Diceros bicornis minor: one gene and its partners. The main gene of each other region encodes a partner of the protein of the gene in region 2 in a complex. Links are inferred from orthologs where the notes say so. Each region holds a gene or a part of one and is shown on either strand. Other genes may lie near its edges. The genes, in order: POLE, POLE3 and CHRAC1.

Region 1 (9,725 bases), on a different chromosome or scaffold from region 2:
GCTCTGTGTGAGAGGAACTATCTCAACTGACAAGGAAACTCACTTCTCAGCTCTATAGTACCAGTACATCTGCCTCAAACTTCCCAAGCCTCTCTCTGGCTAGGATCTTGTAACAACTCTTCACACGGATTTTATCATAAACCTTAAAATAAGTACTTGATGAAGACTTTCCACCACCAGAACTATCTAAACCTGTTAGGATTCTAGAGCTTAGGTTCATCCCAAATGGTTCACAATCTTTAACTCCAGAGGTGTGATTTCATCTAGATAAACCAGAATAATTACAGTTTACCCATGTTCGAAAGAGAACAATCCTTCCGTTTACTAGCATTCCCACTTAAAAAAAAAAAAAAATTGTTAGTTTCTTCTTTAAACCACAGTTCTGAGATTCTGAACCTGTATATTTTTGGCAAGAAGGTCTATTTATTTGTTAAGCCAAGTATATTCTCCACTCCTCAAAAATGTATAGCTAAGAATCAATATCCCATGTCTTTTTGTCTTAATGTAAATAAATGAGTTACTTTGTAAAGCAACGAGCAGAGAAAATATGCACGTGTTTAGAGTGATGCTCTAAACACAAGCAAGTGGAGGGCCGGCCCGGTGGCTTAGCAGTTAAGTGCGCGCGCTCCGCTGCTGGCGGCCCGGGTTTGGATCCCAGGCGCGCACCGATGCACCGCTTCTCCGGCCATGCTGAGGCCGCATCCCACATACAGCAACTAGAAGGATGTGCAGCTATGACATACAACTACCTACTGGGGCTTTGGGGGAAAAACAATAAATAAATAAAAAATTTAAACACAAGCAAGTGGAGGTGGTGAGTGGAGATGGTAAATATCTATTTCCTGTGCAGAATCGACCAGATTCCCACCACTCTGCATCCTCAGTCAAACAGGCATATGTAGATACACTAGTTCTCATTCTTGCTAGACTGCTCTCCCTAAAAGTGTTCTTCCAAAGAACAGGGCAATGTGGGTTGTTTCACAGTAATCCAGGTCTCAAAGACATTCTCTCCCAACAGGAATAGACATTCATTCCTTCCCTTCCATCGCCTCTCACTTCCCAGGATCTGATTCCAGCTCCTTGCTAAATGTTTCCAGGTTCTTAGGATACCACAATTCTTGATGAAATTATATGACCATTCCATCTCTGACCACTATTAGATTTCTCCACAAGGTGAGTGTTTTCAAAATATTGCCCTATCATTTTTTTTGTGTGTGTGAGGAAGATCAGCCCTTAGCTAACATCCATGTTAATCCTCCTCTTTTTGCTGAGGAAGACCAGCTCTGAGTTAACATTATTGCCAATCCTCCTCCTTTTTTTTCCCCTTTTTCCCCAAAGCCCCAGTAGATAGTTGTATGTCATAGTTGCACATCCTTCTAGTTGCTGTATGTGGGACGTGGCCTCAGCATGGCCAGAGAAGCAGTGCACTTAACCACTAAGCCACGGGGCCAGCCCTGCCCTATCATTTGACCTTGCAATTCCACTTCTAAGAATTTATGCCAAGGAAACTGATGTACGGGAAATAATTTCTTTTATGTAGATGTTCATCACGGATTTGTTTATAAGAGGAGTAAAAAAAGGAAGCAGTCTAAATAAGCTAAATATACAAAACAGAGATCAAAGAGAATTAAAAAAAAGGTTTGAACCAAGTTTGTGCAGAATTCATGTCCTTAATTACCACAACATATTTCACCCATTGTTAATTCATCAATAGAAGTGGATAGAGAATTGTTTCTTAAGAAACACTCTTCCTTCACCTGAACATATTCCTTGGGTCACCTCCACTCGAAGAACAGAATGACCTATTTCAAGATTAGGATCCTTACTTTTCACAAAAGATTCTAACACCTGTTGTAGGCAGAATAATGGCCCCCTCAAAGATGTCTACGTCCTTATCCTGGGAACTTGTGTTACCTTACACGGCAAACGGCACTTTGCAGACGTGATTACATCAAAGATTTTGAGATGGGGATTATCTAGGTAGGCCCAATGCAATCACCAGGGTCCTTATAAGAGGGAGACAGGATGGCCAGAATCAGAGAGAGACAGAGACTGGAGGTGTGACCCTGTTGGTTTTGAAGACGGAGGAAGGAGCCACAAGACCAGGAATGCAGGGGGCCAACGTGGCCCCTAGAAGCTACAGAAGGTGAGGAAACAGATTCTCCCCTAGAGCCTTCAGAATGAATGAAACCCTGACGACATCTTGATTTTTAGGACTTCTGACCTTAGAAAAGTAAGAGAATAAATTTGCATTGTTTAAGCCACTAGGTGGTAATTTGTTAACAGTAGCAATTGGAAACCAACACACCACCATACTGTATGACTGTTTACTCTCTAAAATATCTGGATTCACTTTAAATCAAAAACACAGGAAAACTGGATTCCAGGCCTTGCTAGAGAACATACATAAATTCAGTCTGAGGTCCAGATCTCACGAAAGTCAGGACTGAATGCAGGGCTGCCCATGGAACATTACTCCAGGGCCTGCAGCCCTCTGCACTACATTCCTCCACATACCCTGCGTTCCATCCTCGCATCAAATGCGCTGATTAAGCAGATAAGAAACCCGCTCACTCGGATCATATCTCCTCCCAAAACTGTTTTCTCTGAGCGGCACATCTCACTTTTTCTCCCGTGATAGTACAAAATCTGAAAAACGGAGCTAGTAGTCACAAAGATGGTAACTACCGTTTACCGCCCTTCTACATGACCGACGCTGTCCAAGCGCTCTGCGCGCTCCCCATCAATTCTCACGACAGCCCCCCAGGGGGACTGGAAGCACGCCGTTTCGCGGCAGAAACGGAGGCACATCCCCCAGCCCACGCCCTCGACCGCTGCCCCAGGGGCACGCTTGCCTCCCAGGCCTGCCGAGAGGATTCAAGGAGCTAGTCCACGTGTCGCGTGGGAACAGGGCAGACAGGGAAGTTGACAGCGACGACGGCTCCCCACTACCGCGGCCTCGCCTGCTGTGGGGACGGCACTGAGCACGGCGCCGGCGCAGCGACCACCAGCTCGGGCAACACTCCACCCCCGAGGCCCGCGCAAGCACGAGACGCGGGTAGCGGCACCCGCCTCGCAGGCGCCCCGTGAGGACTGAGGGACGCGGACAGACAGCGTTTGCCACAGAAACTACCGCTCCCGTCACGACCGCCGTCCTCCACGTCTCTCAGCCGCTCTGAGGACTGCGTTCAGAGCGGAGCGTCAGTGGCGGCTCCGCGCGCCGGCGCGCGAGGAAACCACGCGGACGCGCTGCTCCGGCCCCGAGGAGCCCCTCCCCCCGGGGGCCCCCGCCGCCCTCTGGCTCCGCCCGTGTGAACACGGCTGCGGAACAGGGGCCGACGTGGCGCCGCGAGAGCGCCCCGGGGACGGGGCCAGGACGCGGCGCCGGGACACCGCTGACCACCGGCCGCACGGCCGTTCCGCCCGCCCGAAGGGGCAGCCGAGACGCGCAGAGCCCGCGGCGGGCGAGGCGCGGAGCGAGCCGGCGCGGAGGCCACGGCGCCGGGCGCGTCCCTCAGCGGAGCCCGCGCAGCTGAGGAGGAGCGCCCGCGGCCGCCGCCGACCGCCGTTCGGGCCCGGCGCACACGGGCTTCCTGCCTGGCCTCAGGGGGACCCCTCGGCTGCGAGCCCAGAACCTCCGCAGAAGGGGAGGGCCAGCGCCCGCCCGCCCGCCCGGGGCCCGCTCACCGGCTCGCCTCGCCGTCCGCGCCCGGCTCGGCACGCCGCCGTCCGCTGTTCCTCAGAACCATCGCGCCGCCGCCGCTTCTGCGGAGAAATTTGGCGCGCTCCCACCAACTCTCGCGAGAGAGCGGAAGCACCCCGCCGCCCAATCAGGATGCTCGTTGCGCCCCGCCCCGCCGAACTCCAATCGCCGCTGGCGCCCGAGGGGAGGTGGCCCGTCGGGGAAATTAGGCGAGGTGTGCGCAGGCGCGCGGAGCTCCAATCGCCGCCGGCGCCCGAGGGGCGGTGGCCCGTTAGGGACTCCGGGAAAAGTGTGCGGAGGCGCGCGCCCCGCACGGCGGGGTCTGCGGGCGGCGCTGCGGACCGCGGCGGGGCGGGAAATGTCAGGCCGTCCCCGCCCGGCGCCCCGCGCCCCGCTCCCGGCAGGCTGAGGCGGGGCCGGCACCCGGGCGCGCGGCGAGCGGGAGGTGATGGCGCCGGCGCCGTCGAGGCTGCTGGCCGAGCCCGGGCTCGGGGCGCTCCCGCGGCGGGCGCTCGCCCAGTACCTGCGCCTCCTGCGGCTCTACCCGGTGCTCACCAAGGCGGCCACCAGGTCGGCGCGGGGGGACGGGACCGGGCGGGGGCAGCCCGGAGCCCGGACGGCCCCGGTGACCCCGCTACATAGGTGCCTCTTCCACGGGGGTTTGAGTGTGAAAGGCAAGAATCCCCGTGCCTCTGAATGACCCTCCAAAGACCGTAAATTAACCAGAAAGCTCAGCATATGCGGTTTTGTGTCTTCGGTTCCGAAGAGTAACTCAGGCACTGTGAAATGTGAACTCCAGGGAGCCCGACTAAAGGGGTGCACGGAGGACTGCCTGCAGACCTCTGCGCCTTTGGTCCCGCTGCCCTGGAGGGAGCGTCCCGAGACAGATGGGGCCCAGCTTCTCGCACAGCTTGTCTGTGCCTGCGCGTGTTCTGAGAGTTAGGATGGCGTTGAGGTAGACGCCTTGAGGAGCGCACAGGAGGCCTGGGCAGGGTGGGAGGTGTGCAGGTTTGTTTTCTGCGGCAGCCTTGCATTTGGGAGAAAACTGAAAGCGCTCTCGGTACTGCTGGGTAACTCCACCCTTTGATTTGGAGCACTAAACTTTTTATGAGACATTTCCCCCTTCATTACTTTAATTAATTTCATGAGTTTGTCCCTTTTTACTAGTTCAGTCTTTTGTAAATATGTACAGCGTGCTTCTTGCGTGCTGGGCCATCGGCAGTGATTAAGATAGGTAAGGTCCTTTCCCTCATGCAGCTGGCGTTCTAGTGAAGAGCCAGACAAAAAGCAGATAAATATGTAATACAGGTAAAGTGTCAGGGAAGTTTTATCTGAGGAGGTGACATCTGAACAGAAACCTGGATGAAGAGAGGGGATAGGCCATGCAAAGAAGGGAAGCAAAAGCTCTCCGGACAGAGGGCACAGCAGGTGCAAAGGTCTGGAGGGAGGAGCAAGCTATTGATGGAGGAGTAGAAAGAAGGTCTGTGTCCCTGGAGAAAATGAAGAGTGAGAAAGGGAGAAATGAGAAAGAAGTAGCCAAGGATCAGATCAAGAAGGTCCTTATCGTCCATACTAACAAGTTTGGATTTTATAGCTCAGAGAGCTTCTCAGAAGGCAACTATAGACCAACCCTTGGAGCGACTGTCTCTACCGTTTTATTGAAATTTTACAAGGAGATCCCTCATACACTTTGCCCAGTTTCCCCCATTGGAAACATTTTGTAAAATTGTAGTACATATCACAACCAGAACACTGGCATGGATACAGTCACAGATCATATTAAGACTTCATACTCAGCTTTCCTTGTACTCGTGTGTGCCTGTGTTTAGTTCTGTGCAGTTTTATCACATGCATAGGTTTATGTATCCACCACTACAGTCAAAATACAGAAAAGTTTCATCATAAGGATACTTCCTCTTGCCTTTTTATAACCACACACTCCCCCTTCCCACATGGTAACCTTTTGCAAAATTATAGTATAATATCACAATCAGGATATTGACATTGATACAATCCACTAATTGGAAAGCTTACTGTACTCCTGTGTTTTTGTGTGTGTGTGTGTAAGTTCCACTGTGTCTACGTTTTTATGTAGAAGCCTTACACTGTGGCTGCTGTAATAAGGACTCCTCTCCACCCCTCCCCAGCATAATCTCAGGAACACATGCCCTCCTGCAGTTGCTCCTGTTTTCTGATTACCTCTCTGTCCACAGTGGCATTTTGTCAGCACTTGGGAACTTGCTGGCCCAGATGTCTGAGAAGCAGCAGAAAAAAGAAAACTGCTCTCAAAAGCTAGATGTCAGTGGGCCTCTCAGATATGCCATTTATGGGTGAGTTCCATAAAGGGGCTGGTTTACCCAGTAGCAGACTAAGTGCTACAAAGCTAGGGTATCAAGAGCAAGTCTCTGGAATAATCTAATTTGGAAAAATAATTTTTAAAAAGCTTTGAAGTAATCATGGGAAAAATCAGAACGGTGGATAACATTAACCACTTATTTTATAGTTTTTATGTGGTCCTTATTTTGAATTGCATGGGTTGAGGAGGCTGTCTTAATTGGCCTGAGAGACCTGAGGGCAGATAACTCACCTGACCCTGAAGTCAGACTTCAAGACTCAAAGACCCTGAAAGAGGAAAACAGACTCAAATGTGGTCAGTTTCTCTTGTTATTTTCATATCAAAAACATCCAGAAAAGAAATACTTAGGTATCCTGAAAAATGTCCAGTTTCTGAACCACTTTTTTTTTTTTTGTGAGATCAGCCCTGTGCTAACATCTGCCAATCCTCCTCTTTTTTTTTTTTTTTTTTTTTTTGCTGAGGAGGATTGGCCCTGGGCTAACATCCATGCCCATCTTCCTCTACTTTATATGGGATGCCGCCACAGCATGGCTTGCCAAGCAGTGCGTTAGTGCACGCCCGGGATCCAAACCTGCGAACCCCGGGCCGCCGCGGCGGAGCGTGCGCACTTAACTGCTTGCGCCACCAGGCTGGCCCCTGAACGACTTGTTGAATTGCAATAGCACAGAGATTCAGGAGTTTTACCAATTAAGTCCACCCTGAGTTCTCTGGCCAACAACAGTGTTTGTATAGATGGATTATTTTGAAATCTTTTGCAACAAGAGTGATTTTTTTTCAGTTCAAAATTTACAAATATCATTTTTGTATCTGTGAGCATGCTAACTTTAGTCATTGCAGCTTTTTCTGCAATATATTTAAAGTTGTAATCCCCCCGATGGGGGGGCAGGGTTGAGTATACCCGAATCACCTGGGAGGCTTTATCCCATCACAGTTTCCATCCTCAAGACTTCCCTTCTCCTCCCACTGTGAACTCCGGCTCTAGGCCACTTCACCTTCTATGGCAGGGTGGGAAAAGACAACTGAGAACCACTTGTTTAAAGACTTTCATTGTCAGGTTGGAAGACCCTTGGGCTCTGTCCATCTGTCATTGCTGGATTTTATGGAGCTGTGGGTCTGTTGTCCCAATAGATGTAGTGGCTGGGTTCAGTTCTCTCCCAAGCACTTTACACTTTGGAAGAACAGTGGCAATACACACAAGCCAGTGTGCTCACTAGGTTTTGCTCTTGCTAATTACCCAAGAGGGTTTGATGAAAAGTTCTAACACCAGTGATGCTTCCAGTTATTTATTACCAAGCACCGTCTCTGAGCCAGGCCCTGTTCTGGGCACTGAACAGACAGGCATGATCCTGTCTTGTGGCGTTTACCTTCTAGGGGCGAAGAGAAAGCACTGTGTAACTAAACCAAGGAAATTGTGACATGTAGTGATAAATGCTATGAAGAAAGTGAACAGGGCCTGGAACGGAGAGTGGCTGGGACAGCGGTGGGTTCATCATGCAGGGCAATCAGGAAAGAACTCTCCAGGCTGACAGGGTTGAGAAGGAGTGGGCCATGTGAAGATTAGGGGGATCCAAGACAGGAACAAGTCTGGTCTGTGAGAGGCAGGAAAGAATGCTTGAAGTAGATTCGAAGAAAGCATATTTTCTAGAAGGATCACACAGACCTTTGTGGTCAGTGCTGAGGGACTACAGGGAGGCAGGCTTTAGGACCTGGGGTTTGGGGGTGAAGCTGGACCGCAGAAGGGCACGTCCAGAGAGGGGCAGTCCAGCTCACCCGCCACCACGGGGCCACAGGTTCTTCTTCACAGGGCCACTGAGTCACTTCTTCTACCTCTTCCTGGAGCACTGGATCCCTTCCGAGGTCCCCTTGGCAGGGGTCAAGAGGCTCCTCCTGGACCGCCTCCTCTTTGCACCGGCCTTCCTGTTGTTGTTCTTCTTCATCATGAACTTCCTGGAGGTTGGTCTCTGCTGTAGTACGACAGCTCTTCATTTGGCACAGGGATTCTTAATCTGGCATCGTGGGTGGAATTCAGAGGGTCTGTGAGCTTTTCGCTACACTCAAAGTTTCACATTTTCTTTTATGAATGTCAGAAGCCAACCACAGCGTATTAACAATACCTGTTGGTCCGCAGTAGAAATCACAGATATTTTGATATCACACATAAGTTCATTCCTTGCACCTGCTGTCAGGTCTCGTCACTGAATGTTAATAAATATGCACATATGCTAGTCTATCATAAAATTGTTTTCTGAATATTTTGATAACTGTATTTCAGTATAATTGGGTCCTTTGTAGTCCTATATATTTTATTTTATACATTACAAAACACGATTCTGAGAAGGGCATCTGTAGGCTTCATCAGACTGCCAAAGAGATCCATGGTACAGAAGTTTCAGACCCCTAATGATGTCGCAGAAGCCTGTGCTAACTCAGTGCCTAGACATTGTAAGTGCTTTGAAGAGGTTAACTTAGCAGCATAAACTTAACATCAGAACCCACCACATGAAAGGTGTGTTCACGTGTAATCACCGGGCACATCTGTTATCCTAATGTGTCCAACCTAAGTCCCTTCCCAGTTCAGTGGCACCTTCAAGCGCTCACCATCTCCTCTCTGTCCGCTGTGTGCCTGAGATGTGTCATGTTCTGCCCTGGAAGTAATTTGTTTCAACCAATCACAGCAGGTAAATTATTCTTTTTTTTTTTTATAATTTTATTTATTTATTTTTCTCCCAAAGCCCCAGTAGCTAGTTGTATGTCATAGCTGCACATCCTTCTAGTTGCTGTATGTGGGACGCGGCCTCAGCATGGCCAGAGAAGCGGTGCGTCGGTGCGCGCTGGGGATCTGAACCCCGGGCCGCCAGCAGCGGAGCGCACGCACTCAACCGCTAAGCCACAGGGCTGGCCCTGGTAAACGATTCTCACTCAGGTTTTATTTTGAAACAGCATCTCGCGTTCTTGTTACTGAGAACACCCCTTGTTGTCTAAAGTGACCCTGGGGGGAGGTAGGAAAGATGTTTAAACTTAACTGTGATTGCTAATAAGTCCCTAATAGTAAACTAAGAAATGTTTGGAAGTCCTTAGGAAATCTGAGGTAGGAGGAAGTAAAGGGTGCCCACATTAGAAATGAGGGTACCACAGTGTTTTCTTCTTTTTTCCTTCCAAATAAGGGAATGTATTTTCATTAAAAAACAAAAACCCTGTATGTTATGTCAAATGTTACCAAAGTGCATAGAGTACCCAACACATAAATCATATGTGTGGGACCACACTATTCCACACACACTACAGATGCTTCTGCTTCTAGCACTATTTGATCAGAGACATCGTGTGTTACAGACTGCACAGCATTCCACCATCTGCCTGTCCCTTTTGTGTAAGTATTCCTGTTTGGTTAATTCCTAGAACTGTGTCCCAAAAGGCTGTCCTTGTGTGTCCTCCATGCAGTGGTGCAGCATAACAGCAACAGCTGACATTTATTGACACTTGCCTTGTTCCAAGCTCTGCGTCCAGCGCTTCGTGTCATGTGAGCCCCACGTCAACCCCACTTGACAGCTAAGGGAGCTGAGGCCCACTCGGGAAGTAACTGGCTTTCGTGTCCTTGAGTCGGGATTCAGACACGGGCCTTGTGACTCCAGAGCTTTTCCCTCCTGGCTTTTTCCCCTGTGTCAG
Region 2 (10,105 bases):
GGCACAGATGTTAGCTCAGGGCTAATCTTCCTCAGCAAAAAAAAAAAAAAAAAAAAAAGAGAGAAACGTTACCTTAGCCTAGTAAGGAAACTTCAAAATCTAGATACCACTATAGGAATGATATAGGTGTGGTTGGGAAAATCTGGTGGATGACCTCAAAAGATTCTTCCCAGTTCTAAAATTCTGTCGTTTTAAGTCATTCCCCACTCTCAGGAAACATTTTTCTTAGGTAGTCAAGGTTTGGTAAGAACTAAAGCCACGTGGAAGGAGAGTTCTTTTGGGGATTCATAGTTGAATGAAGCCTTATGTTGGAGTAGATTAGAATAGAAGGTAAAGCAAGTCCTCCTTAAGCAAGCTTTGAATAACAAGTTTAAGTATGGATTTGATTTAATAGGAAGCAGTGAGGGACTGTAAAATAACAATGTTCCAGGAAGATCCACTTGGCAAGCAGTACACAGGGGAAGCAGAGATGAGGCAGGAAATGGCTCAAAGGAAGCCACAGGAATCCAGATGGGACTTGAGGGCTTAGCTGAGCTCATGGGAATTAAGAAACGATGTTTCTGCTGTGGAGAAGGAAAAAGCCACTGGATCTACATTACAGTTGGGGTGTATCTTTGTGAAATGTTATTTATAAATCCATGATTTGAAAAAGCTATATAATGCGACAGGTAATAGGGCGTTATGGTTGAGATCATGGAGGTAACAGCAGTGCTCCTTCATAGGGTCTAGGAGTTACTACTTGAAAGCATTTATAACAGTGCAGACACCTAGCAGGGACCTAATATGTTGAGAGCTGTTGAGCATCTTGTATGTGTAGGGTGGCTGGCAGAGCCATCGAAAGCCCTTGCTGTGGTTGAAGAGCAGCGCCCTTGCCTGTGAATGAGCAGCATCTGCTGGTCATCCAAGGTGATGCAGGATCCCATATTGACAAAGGTCTGGCCCAGTCCACACCCCAAAAACTGTACAGGGCATGATCAGTCGGTCCTCCCCAAAAGCACACTATAAACAAGCAGGATGAAACAGGAATCATCACTTTTAACAAGAATGTTCTTTATTTGTACAAAGCAATATAATTTTCTCAACATTCTTCACTCATCAACAAACTTTTCACTGCGTTCATTTAACATATTAACAGTGTCAAACTACACTTCACTACCTGTCAACCTCCAAGCGCTCAACTTAGAGACAAACCAAAAAGTGCTTGGAGTACCAAATGGAAAGAGAAAAAAAAACTAAGAAAGGTCAATTGAGATAACTTAGAAGCAGTTAAAGGGAGTAGGCCGGAGGGGGTGTGGGGGTAGGGGAGGTGATTCCTGAGCACCATCAGATTTCCCTTAAGGTTCAGAGAGGTTTACAAAATCATTTTTAAAAGACATGAGATTAGAACTAAGGAATAAGAGGAACCTGCCCTTTGGGATATTAAGCAGGTTATCAAAGTTCCTGGATTGCAGAAGTGTGATACGGAGAGGGAGAGAGAGTGGGAATGAGGAGCAGAGGAGAGGCAGCAGAAAGGGAGCGAGAAGCACACAGGGAGAAAGTTGTGGTGAAGTAAAACAAAGTTTGGAACTTGTCATGAATTGGAAGAATGAAAAGCCATAGTTACAAGTCTGGAAGGACTGAAAGAGAAAGCCTGGAATTTTATACCTTCCAGAAGGTGACAATAAATCCTAAAGCTGTACAGTGGCAGGCAGTGAGATGCATTTAAGACTAAACTACCTGTTTTGTAAGTAGGAGATTAGCACACTTGCTTGTGTAATTCCACTTTACACTGCTGATGTAAAATATACGTGCCCGGAGAGCAGCCACCCCAGCAGGTCAAATGCCTACAAGCAATATAGAAGGGCTCCAAGCCAAACGGGTCTGTAGAAACCGAAATCCTATCAATGTTACTGTCAACTGAAGAGACAATGGAACAGATTTCGTTGTTCTTTTAGTAGTTTCCTAAAGCTAAACCATTTTGACCACTTGTAGTAACCTAGTATTGCCAAACATTGTATAATCAAACAGGCTGACCATGATCAAAGCCCCAATTTTTCCTGAGCCTTGACTGCCTCTGTGATCTGGAACACAGCTGGCAGTACAGAAGTTATTATTACTTTTTTAAGGGGAGGGAACTTCCACAGGGATGGAAGGGAACTGGGGATCGAAAACTGTCTAACCATATATATACACGTAAAACAAGAGAGATCAAATTGACTAAATTAGCCGTTCAAAATCCCTCTTGCCAAAGAGTCATAACCTTCAGAATGGTTAAGCAACAGCATTCTGCTACTCAGATGCTCTGAGTGTGGGAAGCGCTGGTTTTGATAATTGTAGTCAGTTTTTGTTTCGATCTCCTCAGGCTCTTCTGCCTAAGACTACTCTGCCCAGCAGGGAAAAGCTTCACACAAACGTGTACCATGTTTCAGAGTGGTACCTTCCAAAGTGCCACAGTCTCCCCCACCCTATTCAGTTGTCCACTTCCTCCTCTTCATTCTGTTCTTCTTCTTCCAGTCTTTCCTCATCTTCATCGTTGTCCTCATCCCTGCTCTTGTCTGGCTCTTCTGAATCTGTTTTTTTGTCTTTGTCCTTCTTCTTTTGCTCTGAAGCTTCCTTCTTACCTTTCTGCTCCCTCCTATATGCTGTAAGGAGGAAGGGGGGAGTTAGGAGGCAGGGCTGAACCAGACAGACTGCAGAAGCTAACTCCATTGTATACCTGGAAAAGCTGAGGCACAGAAGGAAAAATAACCTGAAGAGCATCACAAAACAGATCTGAAGTCGTGCCAGCTGAACTGATTCTAAGTCACATCCAATACTTGCTCATGGGACTTAAAAGAGACTCAGGCTGAGAAAGACTCAGGACCAGGTGAGCGGGTCACACAGGATGCACATCTACTTGGCTGAGAAAACGAAAGGGTCGTTACCTTCCAGAGCTTCTTTTAACGGGTTGATGAACCGCTGGAACTCCATCTCCTCCATGGCAGAGAGCACATCACTGGCATTCAGTGTCTTGCGTTTCCCTTTCATCGCGAAGTTGTTGGCACTAAAAGAAGAAAAGAAGAAAGATTAAGTGCCATGAGAGGCTGTCAGAGACCCCCCTTGCCGCGTATGGAGGGGGTGGGAAAAGGAGCACCCATAGGTGGAACGGGAAACCCTAGGTCTTAGATGCATGGATTTTGATGACATGGTAAGCACCCTCCCTTCCCTGTACAAAAGGATTAAAGCAAACTTATTCTGTTGTTTTATTTTGCTTCAGACTTGGCAAGAAGTGGAGAACTGTGAACCTCTCTCCACTGAGATGGGACACAATTATTGGGGTCTGTGGGCCCCAGGCCAGGACCTCCGCGAGCCGGGGGATCTCTCGCGCCTCCCCTATGCCTCGGCCCCCGCTGAGCTCTGGCGAGCTCCGCCCGGCTCACCAGGACGTGGCATACAGCACGAAGACGCTGGCGGCGCGGGAGATGGCGCTGCGGGCCTCCTTGGAGATGTTGACACCGTCCGGGAGCTGTGGGGAGAGCTGGAGTGAGCGAAGCTGCCGGCCCAGGACCTGCTTCCCGCCTGCCCGCTCGTCTGCCCCGGCCCTTCCGCCAGCCCGAGCTGCTCACCGCCTCCTTGATGATCCTGGTGATGACGGCGTTGGGGAGATTTAGGTCCTCGGGCCTCTCCGCCATCGCCGCCGCCGGGGCCCACGTCTCCGCCTCAGGCCTCCTCTTCAGGCTGCTACGGCGTCCAGACTTCCCGCGTCGCCACGATCTGACCCAACAAGGCTTCCGTCCCGCCCCCGCACTGCTCACTCTGTGTCCCACAGTGCCCCGCGCGCCATAGCCTCCCTCCTCCCCCAGCCCCGCCTCCGCCTCAAGTTGCCGGTGCATCCGAACTTTGCACGCCGCTTTCGTTTTGGCCCGCCGGGGATTCCGTCTGACCCCATCGGCACCCAGCGTCCCTTCGCAGGCTGGTTTCTCTGCTCATGCCACCAAGAAGTCTGGATGTCTCGCCTCAATTTAAGTTTGGCTCACTGGCGGTTCCGTCCATTCCCCATAGTGCTCTGCGCCGCTGCCTGGCGACGGCGCAGACTGACGGCTAGCGTGGGAGACGAAGGCGTGGACTGAGCCGGCGGGGCGGGGCTCCTTCGGACGAGGGGCGGGGCCTGTCGGGCGGGGCCGCGCCGGGAGCGGTGATTTCCCGGTGGGCTTCGGTCTCTTAGCTGTTTGGTATCTGCTGTTTGGTATCCGGGACCCGTTCCCCGGGGCGGCGTTCTTCCACTTCCTTTTCCGGAACGAAGCGGGGAATCTTTTTTCAACTCTGCCGGAGCTGATGTCCATCCTTAATCTTTTCACCACTCCCGACTCTGTAATCCTGTTAAGAATAACTGTTAACTTAGAATTTTTGAACGCAGACTGCTTTGCAGCATAGCGCTAATGTGGCAGCACAGAGATGGGCATGACTAGACCTCGGGGCTCACTTCTGGCTGGGCAGGTAACGAAAGGGCAACGAGCAGCCGGTTGCAAGAATAACGCAAGACCTTCGCGTTCAAAAACAAACCCTGTTAAAACTGTGTTTATTTTTTAGTTCATTGTGTTGTGTTCACCGTACACCTTTCCGGGTCAAAAACATTACCGTGCTTTTGCAGTGGCTTTTTAAGTTGTGTCATTTTCATGTTAGGTGCGCAGAAATTGTCCTCACCCCCACTGAGTACTAATGCTGCTCTCTTTCTTGAAACATGTCTGAAGTCACCCTGCTTCGTTTTCCTGCTGTTGTTAGAGACATGAGTACAGAGAAATATTTCCCTATTATGAGAAAAACAACAACAAATGTGGTGATAAATGGCAACCGAAACTGCTTCAGTTAGAGACTGTAGCGTCTGGTGGCGGAACTCTCCACTTGGATAGAACAGACCTGGTTTAAAGATGTCAGGAGATGCTCAGCTCCAGCCAGTTGCTGTCTATTGGCATTGGGCCCCCGTGTTGGCAGATATTTTGTTCTTTATGAGGAGCCAGAAATCTGGACATCATGGACCATATTTGCATTTTAAAATAATGGCTCCAAGTCCAGGCCAAACAACACAAGTCATAGGCCAGGTGCAATCCCAGGCCAGTAGTTGGCTAGCTTTTGTCTAAAGTATAAGCTCTTTAAAACAGGGACTTATTTTGTTCATTGATAGTCTCCATGCCGGTAACAGGTCCCCTCAGATATTTGGTAGTCAATAAACTTGTTGAATAAAAGAAAGATGACAGGGACACTGTTCTTAAAAAGTTTTAGGGATTAGGTGGTAGTGATTGCCTAAAACATTTCTCCAGAGAGAAAGATGATAATATCTATTGAGCACCTATTATATATTGTACATAAAAGTACGTTATCTCATTTAATGCTTCTACAAGCCTACTTAGGGTTTTTCCCTCCCCTGCTTTCTATGAGGAAACAGGCGGAGAGAGGTGAAGTCACTTGCCCAAGACCATGCGGCCAGTCAATGAAAAGCCAGTGGCCTCTGATGCAACTGCAAGTCTACTGATTTGCTGTTTGAGCAAACCCATTCATTTCTGGTGGGTATTTTAGCTGCCCGTATGAGAATTGGAGCATATTGAAAAATGAAGCATGTCTTCCAAAGGTTTGAGCCATCTAAAGCACTTCTGTGACTACATTCGTTGTAATTTGATAAACTTTTTTGGTGATGATGGCATCTTCTCCCTAATGATTAATGAAGGGGAAAAGGAAAGGATGCTAATATTTATTTTGAACTATATGGCAGACCTTTTTTTTTTTTGTTTTTTATTTTTTGTGAGGAAGATCAGCCCTGAGCTACCATCTGATGCCAGTCCTCCCCCTCCCCCTCCTTTTTTTGCTGAGGAAGATTGGCCCTGGGCTAACATCCGTGCCCATCTTCCTCCACTTTACATGGGGTGCAGCCACAGCATGGCTTGACAAGCGATGCATCAGTGCGCACCAGGGATCCGAACCTGCGAGCCCCAGGCAGCTGCAGCAGAGCATGAGCACTTAACTGCTTGCACCGGGTGGGCCCCCAGACCTTTTAATATCTATTAACTAATTTTTTTTCCAATTACTTACTTTCTTATTTATTTTTTTGTGAGGAGATCAGCCCTGTGCTAACATCTGCCAATCCTCCTCTTTTTTTTTTTTTTTTTTTTTTTTTGCTGAGGAAGACTGGCCCTGGGCTAACATCCGTGCCCATCTTCCTCCACTTTATATGGGACGCCACCACAGCATGGCTTGCCAAGCAGCGCGTCGGTGTGTGCCTGGGATCCAAACCGGCGAACCCCAGGCCGGGCCGCTGCAGCGGAGCATGCACTTAACGCTTGTGCCACTGGGCCGGCCCCTTCAATTACTTACTTTCCAAGGATTTAATTAAGTGCTAAGGACATCTTGAAGTGCTATCAAATATTTATTAGATTAGGATCTTTTTGACAATAAATATGGATAAATTTCAAAAATAGAATACACATGTAAATTTAAAATAATACCTTATATTTATAAATACATTAATTTTTGTAATGACTCTGTGAAATAGGCTTATCCTCATTTTGCAGATGAGGAAACAAGCTCAGATTGGTTAAGACCCAGGTCACTCACTTGCCACTTTACTTCGTGCTGAGATGTTTTCATACTTGCTTGTTAGCCAATTCTTAATTATCCTGTGACCACCATTTACCTATATGGGTTCATTAGAAATATTTTATGCTTTGAGTCCAAATTCAGATCTGGAATGAATGGCTAATGTATAATACTCCCTAGTTATGTGGTGGTTATTGTTTCTCCAGGGGGCTAGAAAGCTGCAAGATGGGTTCTTGTCCTAAACCATTTGTAGCTGTGGACTCACCAGATGAAAGCCAGTGGGATGAAACCACTTGCGACCTGGCCGTTTGTCAGCATCCACAGTGCTGGGCAACTGTCCGCCGGATTGAGAGGGGCCGCCCTCGAATCCTGGGCTCCCCCTGCGAAACTCCTCCAGATGCTGAAGGTGAATTAGCCAGCCCTGTCTCCTTCCTTCTAAGATCCTTGAACTATTTCTGTTTGGCTCCCTTTTGACATGTTACATGTTTTGTTCTGGTCTGCTTTCTCAGACAAACTCCCAGTGCTCACCATTGTAAACATCTCAGATTCCTGCTTCCGGGCCAAGAGACTTGCTCATCGTCGTTTCTCAGGATTTACCTTCACCAAGGCTCACTCTTTATTGTCTCGAGGTTCAAAGTTTGACTGCAAATTTCGAGGCAGGTAAGTTATCATGGAATCTTCCATTAAGAGCCTACTATCTCAAAATTCTAAGTTGACTTCTTTTATCCATGTGTAGTAGACTTTGAGAAAGCTGGATTAAAAGTAAAACACCATTTCCATTAAAGAAGTGGTGAATAGGCAGTGGGAAACAGAAAGAAAGCATTCTTATTTGTGTTGTAGGAGTTGGTTACAATGGAGGGTGTATTAGTTTGCTAGGGTTACCATAGCAAAGTACCATAGACTGGGTGGCTTAAACAACAAGTTTATTTTCTCACAGTTCTAGAGGCTAGAAGTTCAAGATTAAGGTGTTGGCAGAATTGTTTTCTTCTGAGCCCTCTCTCCTTGGCTTGTAGGTGGCCGTTTTCTCACTATGTCTTAACATGGCCTTCCCTCTCTGTATGTCTGTGTCCTAATCTCCTCTTCTTGTAAGCACACCAGTCATATTGGATTAGGGCCCACCCATATGACTTTATTTTACCTTATTTACCTCATTAAAGACCGTGTCTCTAAATAGAGTCAAATTCTGAGGTATTGGGGTTAGGATTTCAACATAAAAATTTGGGGGGACACAATTGAGCCTCTAACAGGGAGTATCTCCTCAGCTTCTGTAGGTCATCAGAAAACTGTGCTGTCTTTCTCGTCTTTTATTTTTAGGTATGAAACCGTTTGTAAGATCTCGAAGGCAGAAGCAATGGTTTCCTTTTGAGTCTCTTGCAGAGTCTAGGCACCCAATTAGTGCTTGCTGATAGAGGAAGCTAAGGGACGGATCTGTGGAAAACATAGACTGTTAGAATTCGAAGACCCTGTTGCCTGGAATCAAAGCACTAAGTGGCCCTTATACTGGTTTCTTCTCTCCTGTTTCACTAAAGCAGCCCTTGATGATTTCTGTTAGGCTAAAGATAGTATAGGAAAGGTTAGGATTACTTTCTGGTTCTCTAGGATTTGAATCCTAGGAAAACAGCAGCTTCTCCCAGTCAGGGCCTATGAGGGGAAAGACCATGCCATCATTCATTTAGTCACTCACTGAATTCACAAATGTATCTTAGTGGGGACCACTTTGCTGGACACCGGGGACACAGTGGTAAACAAGATACAGTCTTTACCCCCAAAGGGCTTTCAGCCTATTTGGGGTGGCAAAGACCCATTCAGTGTGATGAATGTGGCGAGAAGGGTACCCCCTGGGGGTGTGGAAGGACACAGGAGGAGTTCCTAACCCAGGGTACTGCCTCCTGTACAGGTGGCATCTGTGCCTAGACCTGAAATTAGAGTACCAGTGAGGTGGGAGGTGGACGAGGAGAGAGTTCTAGACTGCAGAAATAGCACACGCAAAGGCCTGGAGGCAAGCAGAAATTCTTTAGGTGTCAGGAAAATAGTTCCCTGTGTCTGGAACATAGAGCAGGAATGAGAGAGTGGTCAGAGAGGAGGCTAGGGAGCTGGAGTAAAAAGCAGGGGCCTACATCACGCAGGACTTCATAAATCAGGCTAAGGAGTTGAATCCTTATCTTATACCTCTTTGCAGTATTCATTCATTCATCCATTTAACATGTTTTAAAAATAAAATAGCAACTGATATGAAAATGTAAGGGGATGATTTTTATTGTGGTAAATATATATAACAAAATTTATGATTTTAACCTCTTTTTTTGGTTTTGTTTTTTGAGGAAGATCAGCCCTGAGCTAACACCCGTTGCCAATCCTCCTCTTTTTGCTGAGGAAGATTGGCCCTGAGCCAACATCCATGCCCATCTTCCTCTACTTTATATGGGATGCTGCCACAGCGTGGCTTGACAAGCGGTGTGTCAGTGCATTCCCGGGATCCGAACCTGTGAACCCCGGGCCGCTGAAGTGGAGTGCCTGCACTTAACCACTTGTGCCACCAGGCAGGCCCCCATTTTAACCATTTTTAAGTGTATAATTCGGTGGCATTAAATACATTCACAATGTTATGCAACCATCACCGCTATACATTTCTAGAACTTTTTCATCATCTCTAACAGAAGCTCTGTACCCATTAAACCATAAATCCCCATTCTCCCTTCCCTCCAGCCCTGGTAATCCCTATTCTATTTTTTGTCTCTATGAATTTGCCCATTCTAGGTACCTCATATCAGTGGAATCATATAATATTTGTCCTTTTGTGTCTAGCTTATTTCACCTAGCATAATGTTTTCAGGGTTCATCTATCTTGTAGTATGTATCGGAATTTCATTCCTTTTTAAGGCTGAAAAATATTCCATTATATGTATACACCACGTTTTGTCTGTTTAACATGTTATTGAATATCTACATCAAAGGTACTTAAACTTTTATTGATAGTGATGTAACTATCTGTAGTTGGAGAGAGAGAGGCATAAGCTATGAAATCAGTGTGATGCAACAAATAATAGTGAAGGGCTTGCAATGTGCAATGTCTGTTTGGGAGCTGTTCCAGGAAAAACAAGCAAACAAAACTTAAGGAGATGGTGAGACCCTGCATTCGTTTGGTAAGTATTAAGCCCAAGGTTTTCTGTAGATAATTAGAAGGCTTTTCCTCATAGCACTAAGTTTATCATCCCAATAACTCTCTCGTGTCTCTGTTTCATGTTCGGAAACTCTCATTTTTTAGGCCTCGGAACGCTTTACCTGACAAAGATTTAATCAACCATACTAATAGATCTCCTGAAGGAAGTCACAGATCAAAAAAGGTACTTCCTCAGCATTTTCTCTTTACTAGTGGGAATAAAATATTTGCCTGTATTAACATTTGGGATGTCTATAATCTGAGTAATGATGATAATCATGATGATGATAACTAGCTAATATTGGACCCTTACTATATGCTAGGCTTTGTGCTAATGCCTTTACATGCTATACTGTTTCCAGAAATCCCAGACACTGTGGGATTGATTTGTGGCAGCTT
Region 3 (9,955 bases), on a different chromosome or scaffold from region 2:
CCTTTGGTGAGCACTCACAAGGGCTACACATCCGCTCACATCTCTCCCCATTCTGAGAAGTTCATCCAGAAACCCCTTCCTCAGACCTTTCTGTCTTTAAGTCTCCAATCTTGTTTTCTCCAAGTTCCTGGACCATCAGTCAAACTGTTAGCTGCTGCCCCTAAACTGGTGTAGATCCTGCGCCTCTGGCTTTCTCTCCATCCAGGCAAGTTGGCCGCTGGGGGCACTTCCCTTCCCCTCTACCTTTTGGGCACACTTGATGAAGCTGTTATGCTGCAGCATTGCAATTCCGCCTGGTGCCAGCACATTATAAAGCAAGCTATTAACTGGGTCTGCGTTTTTCTTCTTCGCTCGTCTGCCCACAGAGAATGCCCATGAGGCCATAGTTGTGGGGAGTGGGCGAGGTGGGGGGGAGTGGAGGAGGTGCCGTGGGAGTCTGAGCCACCTGCTCAGGTGACTTACTTGTGCTCCGGGACCGGGACCGGCTCAAAGCTGATACCATCATATTCATCAACTTCCCCTTGAAGGTGGAGTGTGGTGTGTGGCTCGGCGGATCATGTCACACCCAGCTCAGGTCACGTACTCATCTGGGGTCTCGTAGCCTGGCCTTTGGTCTCTACCGGTGTCCAATAGCAAATCTGAAGCTGTTGCTCAAGTGGACGATAGTTATTCGCAGAAGAAGATATATCTTTGCTCCAAAGCGCTTGGAGTCTGTGCTGTGACTCTGTTATTGGGACCTGCCAGGACTCCTTACAAGGGTGCTAAATGCCGCAGACACCCCGCCCTCGATCTGTGGGGTTGTCTGGTGAATGGGTCTGAGAGCACACTCAGGTGCAGTTCAGGCAGTCTCCAAAAGTCAAAGAGAGCCCAGTGCAGGGCACTCCACCAGCTTAGTGAAGCAAACCACTCAAGCCGCTGCCAGCTGTTGGAGCTGACACAGAATCTAGAACCTCTGGTAAGTCAGCTCTGTTGATAAATTCAGCCCCATCAAATGTCATGCTCTTATACTGTTAGGATCCATTCCCCATATACTTATTCCCCAAGTTTCTGCAGATAAAAATACATGAATATCCTGTGATTCTTTCAGTGTGAACATCTCCTAAACTGGGCCTCGCACTGATTCCCTGGGGCATGCTGGGATCTGACTCCAATTATGGATTGGAGTTAATGAGGGGCGAGTCTTCAGAAGACTCAGCATCTCCTTGCCAGGTAAGCACCTCAAGTGAGCTCATTAACAGGACTTCAAGCAGGCAAAGACTAATCTCAGGCAGGCAGGGGGGCTATTTCCACTAACAAATAGGCTCAGAGGGATGGGGGGTGCAAGTTTCTCCCATTTGCTTGTATCGTCCCAACTATCCCCATTCTAATTCTCAGGATCCCATTCTTCCCAATCAATAGCCCAACTTCACTGAGAAGCCCTGGTGACGCTGTGAATTCAACTTCTGTTGTAATTATGCATCAGGTAGGATCAAGGGTGGGTCTGACCTTTAGTCTTATCAGCCTCAAGGCTACAAAAGATAAGGAATCACTTAGGACCATCACAGAAGCTCGTTCTCTGACCATGCTTGATCTGCGAGTTTAAAGCCCAGAGCTTTCAATTTTCTTTTGAAATCTCTCCAATGCAATCAGAAGAAGCCAGCCTATCCCGCAAGCCTTGTCTCTATTCCCACCATGATGGTCACTGGCGGGAGCTTTGCCTTCAATGGACACTCCATCCAGGCAGGTGATAATTTAAGTAACTGTTTTGCCAGGGCATGCTGCCAATGAGGTCATCTCTGTGGACCAGCATAGTCAGCTCAGATAACCAGCCCCAGATTCCCATATTTGTGGATCTGTTTCCTACAACCACGGACACATTTCAACGTTCAATCAAAAAAGCAGAGAGGCTGGCCCGGTGGTGCAGCGGTTAAGTGCACGCACTCCGCTTCGGGGTTCGCAGGTTCGGATCCTGGGCATGCACTGAAACACCGCTTGTCAAGCCACGCTGTGGTGGTGTCCCATATAAAGTAGAGGAAGATGGGCATGGATGTTAGCCCAGGGCCAATCTTCCTCAGCAAAAAAGAGGAGGACGGGCATCAGATGTTAGCTCAGGGCTGATCTTTCTCACACACACACAAACACACACACACACAAAGCAGAAACTTTTTTAGATATTTCAAACAGAGAGGGATTTAATGTTAAGAATCAAATTTCAAGGGTGTTGGAAGAGCTGCAGGAGCATGAGGGAGAAGGTGCTCTTAAGAAAAAGAGGAAGGAGATGCCGCGCAGAGATCAGGAAGCTGGTACTGCCCTTGGCTTGGTGCCGAGGAGCCCACACTTGCCTCGGAACTGCTAGAGATGCTGCTGCTGAGCAGAAACCCAGGGTGAAGCCACTCAAACCACCACCTATGCAACGTTGCTCACCATGACGCCCTGCAGTCCCCACCCTGCTGCCAACGCCCTCACACAGGCAGATAAACAACTTCCTCCTCCTACCCGGCTGCAGTCACTCACTAGTGTCTCCCATTGGCAGAATGGAGCCAGAGGCCAGCTAGCAGGGGCTTCTGGGAAGAGTAGTTAGTGGCTTTCTAGCACCTTAGGATACAGACACAGGAGGGAGCAAGGAAAGGTGCGACACCTCTTGAGATGTTGTGAAGAGAAAGGGAACTAATGGATAACAAAGCTAACAACAGAATGACACGATAATTCACTGTGCTTTTTCTAGGGCAGGCAGGTTCCCAAGGTTTATATATTCTTTAGTTCTCCTACTCTTAGGTTTGAAGCTTGTTTCTTTTTTTTAAGTGGTGAGCACTTTCCCACTTTTCTGAAGATTTCCTTCTTTGCCCCTCTCCTTACTTCTCAAAATGATTAATGACTGCAAATATCCTCTGCCAATTCCATGACCTGAGCTTCTCATCCCCCTTTCTCCTTGAATTCTTTTGGCTCTCTTCTTTTCACTCTCCAGATGCCTTCCTCTTCTTTTTCTTTCCTAATCTTAACCCATCCTGCTCTCAAACATGCTGAATGAGAATGACAAACCTTACATAAAACAGTAACCAGCTAGAGAAACAAAACATCTAAAACCTTTAACATATAGCAACAATACAGCTTATTTCTTGTGTGGACTGAAGGACCCTACCATGTAGTTGGTTTTTGTTGGGCAGTTTCTTGCTCTTTCCTTCTGTGAATGTCAAGGCTCTCCCACTTACAGAGGAAAGGAGCCCCTTTGACTACGAGCTGAATCCTGAAGCTGAAGCAGCACCTCCTGCCCCTGCTCTGCACAGGGCACGGTGCCAATTGTCATCACCTGGCAGTTCCAGTGGGATTTTACGTTGGATCTGCTCCCTTACTTCAAAACTCGCATGGCTTTCCTTTGCTCTCAAAAGGACCGTCATACTTCTTGCCTGCCTGCCTGGCGGGCCCCACCTACCTTGCTAACCGCCTCTCCCGCGCCCTCTGCCTCACTCACTAAGCCCTAGCCACACTGGCCTTTCAGTTCCTCAAATTTGCCAGGGCATCTTCCTCCTCAGCCATCCTTCCCACAGGCTGTTCAGAATGCTCGTCTTGCCCCAGCCTCTCTGCATGGCCAGCTCCTTTCCCTTCTTCATGTCTGAGCTTAAAGATCACTTGCACACGATTGTGCTTCTTCCCAGCACTTACCATAGAAGGTATTTCTTTTTCTGTCTCCCTTGTCCTTGAAAGTAAGCTCCGTGAGAGCAAGAGCTATAGCTGTCTTGCTCACTGGCTGTACCTTTGGGCCTAGCAGTCCCTGACATGTATTTGGCGCTATTATTTGGGCCAAAACCTGAGGTCACAGTGGTGAAGATGACACTGTCCTTGCATTCTTGGCCTTTACCTCCTAGCGAGGTAGCTCACAGCAGGTCTAAGACTACTGGGTCATTATGCCTGAAGGTAGATGTGAAAAGACTTTTCTAAAACCCTAATACCACAAATGTCATTAATCTGGAGAATCTGTGACATCTGGCCTCCGGTCCCCTCCTCAGGAAGACTAAAGAGCAGTAATTTTCAGCACCCACTAATCTTGTAGAAACACGCTCTACAAGTATACATTTTATATTTTGTAATCATTACCTAAGTGATGGACAGAATTGAAATCAGAAAAGTTAAACAAGGTATATTTGAATTTTCAAAATGCTTTTCAGATGAACTTTGAAATCAAAGTTAACTTGGGGTAACAAGACCTTGCAGCAGGAACAGGGAGACTTTACACAGTAATTTACACTTTTGCAGAGTGCTTTACAGTTTACAAAAAGCTTTCTCATTCCCATCTCCTCTGACCCTCACCACTGACCTGTGAGGAAGCAGCGCTGGATGGAGTATCACCGACAGGGTGGGGAACTTGGATCTCAATATGCCAGGCACTTGCACACCTCACAACAACCCATCATCATCTTTGCAAATAAGGAAACAGTGGTTCAGAGAGAACACTTGCTTTGCCTGAGGTCACACCTGGTGAGTGGCAGGATAGTCATCTTAATTGACCCTTCAGCTCTTTTGGATGCACTTGATTAATTTATCCTTTCAGAAGAACTTTCTTTGTTTGGCTTTACGGACACCCGGTCTCTTGGTTTTCTTCTCACTCAATGACCACTTCTTCCCAGTCTCATTTGCTGTATTTTCCTTCTCTTCCCCATCTCGGAATGTTGGAGAATCCCAGGACGTGGTCCTTAGAGCTTTCTACTCCATCCACTCTCTCCTCCTAGATATTCACCCAGGTCCATGGTTTTAACTACCGCCTAGACAGTGGTGGCTTCTAAATTCACTGCTCCAGCCCGAATTCCAGGCTGGAATATCCAATTGTCCACTCAATACTGCCACAAGGGTTTGACAGGCAATTGAAACTTGCTCCAAACCAAACCTCTGCCAAATTTGCTCGTCCAGCAGAATTCCCCATCTCAGTAAATGGCACCATTCCTTCACTCATACTCCACATCACATTAGCGAGTCCTGTTGACTCTATCTTCAAATTAGATGCCAAATCCTACTACTTCCCACAGCCTCCACCCTGGTTTAACCTGCCATCATTTCTCAGTCCCATAACAGCTTCCTAACAGTGCTCTCCACCTGCTTACATTCTCGCCCTCCTACAGTCTGTTCACACACAGCACCTTGAGCATTCCTTGTAAAACTTCAGTAGGACCACCTCACTCTTCCCACGGCCTCGCAACTCATATGGAAAGAATTCCACGGTCTGTAAGACCCTACCTGATCTGGCCTCTGGCTACTTCCTACCATTCTTTTCCTAGCTCATTTCACCTTAGCCACACTGGCATCCTACTCATCACCTGCAATCACCTTCTACCTGATCTCTCTGCTTCCACTCTTACGACCCCCGGTCTATTCACAATCAGCAGCCAGAGGGATCCTTTTAAAGACATATCCCATCATCCTTCTGATATCTTTCAACCACTTCCCATTTTTCTTAGAATAAGATCCAATAGGACCTAGCGCGCCTGGTTCCACGCCTCGCTCATTCTGAGCTGCCCTGCGGGGGTCCAGCCTCCAGGCCTTTGCATTTGTTGTTCCTTCTCCCAGGAATGCGCTTTCTCAGACGTCAATACGGCTTATTTCCTCTCTTCACTGCCCAACCTTCTTCCCTACCACCTTGGTTAAAACAGTACTCCCGGTCTCTGTATCTTCTGACACTGCTTTCTTTTCCTTCGTGGTATTTATCCTATTTGCTTGCTGTTTACTTCGTCTTCCCTCTAGAACGCTGCCTTCAGGAGAGCGTTCTTTTGTTCACACTGCATTCCCAGCTCCAGCACAGCGAGGGCAGTGAATCAACATTCCTGAAACTTTCCATCCCCCTCCTGGCAGAGCTCTCCCCTACCGTTCGCCTCCCTCAACAGCACCCGCCCTCCCCTCGGGACCTCCTGCTCCCCCGTCCCGCGCCCCGCCGTCCCAGCCGGCCGCCTTTCCATCCGCTCCGCTCGGCGCAGGGTGCCGAGGGCTCCTTCCGGCGGCCTCGGGGGCGCGGGGCATCACGGGGCTTGTAGTCCGCCACCGAAAGCGCGGCTGCCGGCCCCCGCGGCCGCGCCTCCCCGACACTACAACTCCCACGGGGCAACGGGACGCCGCTCCCGCACCCACCGTGTCGGCCGGCCACCTCGCGGCGGGCGGTGGGCGGTGGCGTGATAGCGGGCGGTCCCGGCGGCCGCCGCGGGGGAGGGGCGCAAAGATGGCGGACGTGGTCGTGGGCAAAGACAAGTGCGGGGAGCAGCGGCTCGTGTCGCTGCCCCTGTCCCGCATCCGGGTCATCATGAAGAGCTCCCCCGAGGTGTCCAGCATCAACCAGGAGGCGCTGGTGCTCACGGCCAAGGCCACGGTGAGGCGGGCCGCGCGGGGAGCAGTGAGGAGCCACGAGACACGGGCGGGGATGGGGCCGCCCGCCAGCCTCGGCCGCGCCGCCGGCTCCCCCCCGGCCCGCGCGCCGCCGGTTGCCCCTCGCGGTCTCACGTGCGCGCGCCCTTCCGCGCCCCGTCCTCCCTCGCGCGCCCCGAGCTCCGCCCATCCCGCGCCGTTCCCGCCCTCCCTCGCGCGCCGTCCGCCGTCCCGCGGGCTGACGCGGCTTGTTTTGGTGTGTCGTTGCCCTGCGTCGCCGTATTCCCGTCCCTAAAGCCTTCGCTTTTCTCGCTTCCGGCCTGTTTGGGGGTTTGGGGGCCCCAGCTCCTCAGACGGTCCGGGGCGAGGGCCCGGGCGCCGTCCAGCGAAGCTCGAGGGCTTCCTCGGGAGGTGGCCGGGCCGCGCTCCCCGCGTCTGCTAGGCGGGCCGCAGTGGCATCCCGGAGACCTCCGCTTCCAGCCGGTGTACTAGCCCCCTCCGAGGTGCGGGACAGATCATTCGTCTCTTGTGGTTTGGTCTCGATAGTGGCGTGTCAGAACCCTTCCTGTTTTACACGGGGCCGTGTTTGAGCTGCCGTCTTCATTGTTTTAACTTAGAGTCTGTTTTCCAGCCCCTCCGAGTTCAGGACACAGTGTCCCTACGGTATGTTGGACTAGAGCTAACGGAAGTGGGAAATCAGATTTCTTGCCTGCTTTATGCCAGAGCCATGCTTTCTTAGAGCCCAGGAAAATAATTGCCCGCTCAGCATTGGGATATTTGTGTTTTCCTGTACAATTTCATTCTGTAAGTATTAAGGAACTGTGGCTTATGCAGGCCCTTCTTTAATCCCTTACTGAGCAAATTAGATGGAGTTAAAGCAAAAACAGAGAGAGGGGCTCAGTCCAGGTTGTTTCTTTAGGGAAGGTATTGGTGCAAAATGGGAAATGTCCATTTTCAGCTTCAGGTTGCTGACTATTATAGTTGTAGGCAAACCACCTTGGACACAATATATTCAAATGAAAGACTAAAATTGTGTTCCTGAGCCAGATAGAATTTTCTTTTTTTTTTTTAATAATTTTTTTTATTTATTATTTTTTTCCCCCAAAGCCCCACTAGATAGTTGTATGTCATAGTTGCACATCGTTCTAGTTGCTGTATGTGGGACGCGGCCTCAACATGGCCGGAGAAGCGGTGTGTTGGTGCGCGCCTGGGATCGGAACCCGGGCTGCCAGCAGCGGAGCGCGCGCACTTAACCGCTAAGCCACGGGGCCGGCCCAGATAGAATTTTCAAATGGTCTCATGCTCCCTTTTTACTGTACAGATTGGTTATTGCACATTTATGATTCATTAATTACTTTTAAATATTTTTGATAAGTTAGAAATCTAAAATAAACTTTAGGGAAATGCCTTCTCCACCAACTTTGATATGGCCTTGCTTTCCTTCTAACCTCATATTTCTCCTTTCCCCAGTGATTTCCTGTAATTTGAGAAACCAAGATAATCTGAGTTCATCTAAACTTAAAGTAATTTAAAGATGAAGTTCTATGATAAGTTTTCAAAGCACACCTTTCATTTTACTTTTTGGTTTTGTTTTAGGAACTCTTTGTTCAATATCTAGCCACCTATTCCTACAGACATGGCAGTGGAAAAGAAAAGAAAGCACTCACTTACAGTGATTTATCAAATACTGCAGAGGAATCGGAAACTTTTCAGTTTCTTGCAGGTACTTAGCCTTTGAAACATTCTGGTTAAAAAATGCTTAGTAATTTGCAACTCTTTCTTTCCTGCTTTCACTGAAATTGACATTTTGCTGCTTTCTCCAGGTGCCAAAGTTTTCCACGACCTGGCACAGGAAGACCTTTTATGTTTTGTCTGAGTGTGTTTGTAATGTGGTTCACCTAGAACGATAGTGAAGTCAACAGCCTGCACCAAGGATGTTTGGCTGGCTGGGTGAGCCTGGCAGACCCACCTCCTCAGACTCCTCCTTGCCACTGAAGGGAAAACTCTGGGCTGCTTTCCTTGGCCCCAGAAACAGAAAAACTAATGCTTGTTGTTGTAATAGTTGTGGGACACAGCCAGAAAGAGCTTAAGTCTACCCTTGGGGCCAGCCGGTCTGAGGTGGTTTGGGCAGGGTTGCTCAGTCGTTATCAGCACATAGAAGCACATAGTTTGCAGTCAGTAGAATGGAAACAGGTCTTGAGCATTAGTCAGCAGACAGTGCTAGTTTCCTGCTATTTCACCCAGAAGTGTAGTCTGAATTTTGTCTTGTTTTGGAACCTATTCTAAAGCAGGAACTAGTTGGGGCCGGCCCGGTGGCGCAAGCGGTTAAGTGCGCGCGCTCCGCTGCGGCGGGCCGGGGTTCGCTGGTTCGGATCCCGGGCGCACACCGACGCACTGCTTGGCAAGCCATGCTGTGGCGGCGTCCCATATAAAGTGGAGGAAGATGGGCACAGATGTTAGCCCAGGGCCGTGTTCCTCAGCAAAAAAAAAAAGAGGAGGATTGGCGAATGTTAGCACAGGGCTGATCTCACACACAAAAAAAATAGACATGATTTTTCATAAACAAAAAATTAAAAAATAAATAAATAAATAAAGCAGGAACTAGTACATTTTGAAATTTGCATTGCTGTATTCATGGTGTACCACAACCAATTGCTGATGTTAGCTTTATGTTTTTAAGATATATTACCAAAGAAGATTTTAGCTAGTAAATATCTGAAAATGCTTAAAGAGAAGAGAGAAGATGACGAGGAAGAGCATGACAACGATGACAGTGATGATGATGACGCGGAATCCTAAACCAAAAAAGTGCTTTAAAAATCAACCTGGTGAAGACCGTTCTGGATTGGCACCATTACTTTGAAGTAAGCACAACACTGTGTGACTTTAGTCTCCTCGATTTTCAGAGACTTCAAGTACATTGTATTCTTTCCTGGCTGAGATAGAGCATCTGAGGCACCTATACCATAAATAGCCAAAAGGAAAGTAACCCAGACAACGGCCTCTCTTTGACAGGTCCCCGCTGCAGTTGGAGGGTACCAAGAAAGAGTTGTCTGTACAGTCAGGCACTGCCACTCAATCTGCTGCAGCTATAAGCAGCAGAGGCAAAGACAATTTTGCTTAACTTTTAAATTTACAGATAGATTTTGAAGAGCTTCTAAATATCATTTGTGTAAATTCGTATATGTATATTTTGAAATCCTTATAAACAACTAGATCCAGTTTTAGCTAAATATGTAGTTTATGCGTAGTATGTTACATTTCAGTTTTTGTATTTCAAGAAAATTTGACTATTTGTCCAAATACTGCATTTTTTTAACTGTAAAGAAATAAATTTTTCTTTTTTATTAAAAGTTGTACATAGTTTTACAGTAAAATGCTTTATGAAACTAGTTTTAGAACCCTCCATTGTTTTACTGCCTTGCTTATTACCTGAGACTTTTGTGATATTTAAAAATAAGGATTTCTAACACTTATTCCCAGAGAAGAATTTCAAGTCAAATTAGCCAATGCAAAAAGAAATGTTACCTCTGCATGAGCATATTTTTCTTAAAAAACGTTTTAAAACATTTTGTATGTTGAAGATCTCTCTTTTTACTGTTCTTTTCTTTACACCCATTGTGATTGTTTTTAC

What was found.
Region 1: POLE3 (region 2) and POLE share a complex: the UniProt entries of both Homo sapiens proteins name them as parts of the DNA polymerase epsilon complex. The link is inferred for Diceros bicornis minor from reciprocal best matches to the Homo sapiens genes POLE3 and POLE.
Region 3: POLE3 (region 2) and CHRAC1 share a complex: the UniProt entries of both Homo sapiens proteins name them as parts of the CHRAC ISWI chromatin remodeling complex. The link is inferred for Diceros bicornis minor from reciprocal best matches to the Homo sapiens genes POLE3 and CHRAC1.

The regions. Positions count from the first base shown.
Region 1 is NC_080774.1:478,886-488,610, reverse strand, and holds the start of POLE (DNA polymerase epsilon catalytic subunit A), read right to left. Parts: upstream 3,773-9,725; 5' UTR 3,750-3,772; coding exon 3,688-3,749; intron 1-3,687. Other genes in the region: PXMP2 (peroxisomal membrane protein 2), read left to right, coding at 4,152-4,273, 5,917-6,033, 7,850-8,012. UniProt on the Homo sapiens protein: Catalytic component of the DNA polymerase epsilon complex. Participates in chromosomal DNA replication.
Region 2 is NC_080767.1:21,637,380-21,647,484, forward strand, and holds POLE3 (DNA polymerase epsilon subunit 3), read right to left. Parts: upstream 3,771-10,105; 5' UTR 3,651-3,770; coding exon 3,585-3,650; intron 3,485-3,584; coding exon 3,399-3,484; intron 3,023-3,398; coding exon 2,904-3,022; intron 2,622-2,903; coding exon 2,449-2,621; 3' UTR 1,030-2,448; downstream 1-1,029. Other genes in the region: C28H9orf43 (uncharacterized protein C9orf43 homolog), read left to right, coding at 5,434-5,519, 6,753-6,952, 7,056-7,206, 9,812-9,890. UniProt on the Homo sapiens protein: Accessory component of the DNA polymerase epsilon complex. Participates in DNA repair and in chromosomal DNA replication.
Region 3 is NC_080760.1:53,260,256-53,270,210, forward strand, and holds CHRAC1 (chromatin accessibility complex protein 1), read left to right. Parts: upstream 1-6,120; 5' UTR 6,121-6,178; coding exon 6,179-6,325; intron 6,326-7,917; coding exon 7,918-8,044; intron 8,045-8,144; coding exon of another isoform or gene 8,145-8,197; exon of another isoform or gene 8,198-8,607; intron 8,608-9,001; coding exon 9,002-9,120; 3' UTR 9,121-9,713; downstream 9,714-9,955. UniProt on the Homo sapiens protein: Forms a complex with DNA polymerase epsilon subunit POLE3 and binds naked DNA, which is then incorporated into chromatin, aided by the nucleosome remodeling activity of ISWI/SNF2H and ACF1.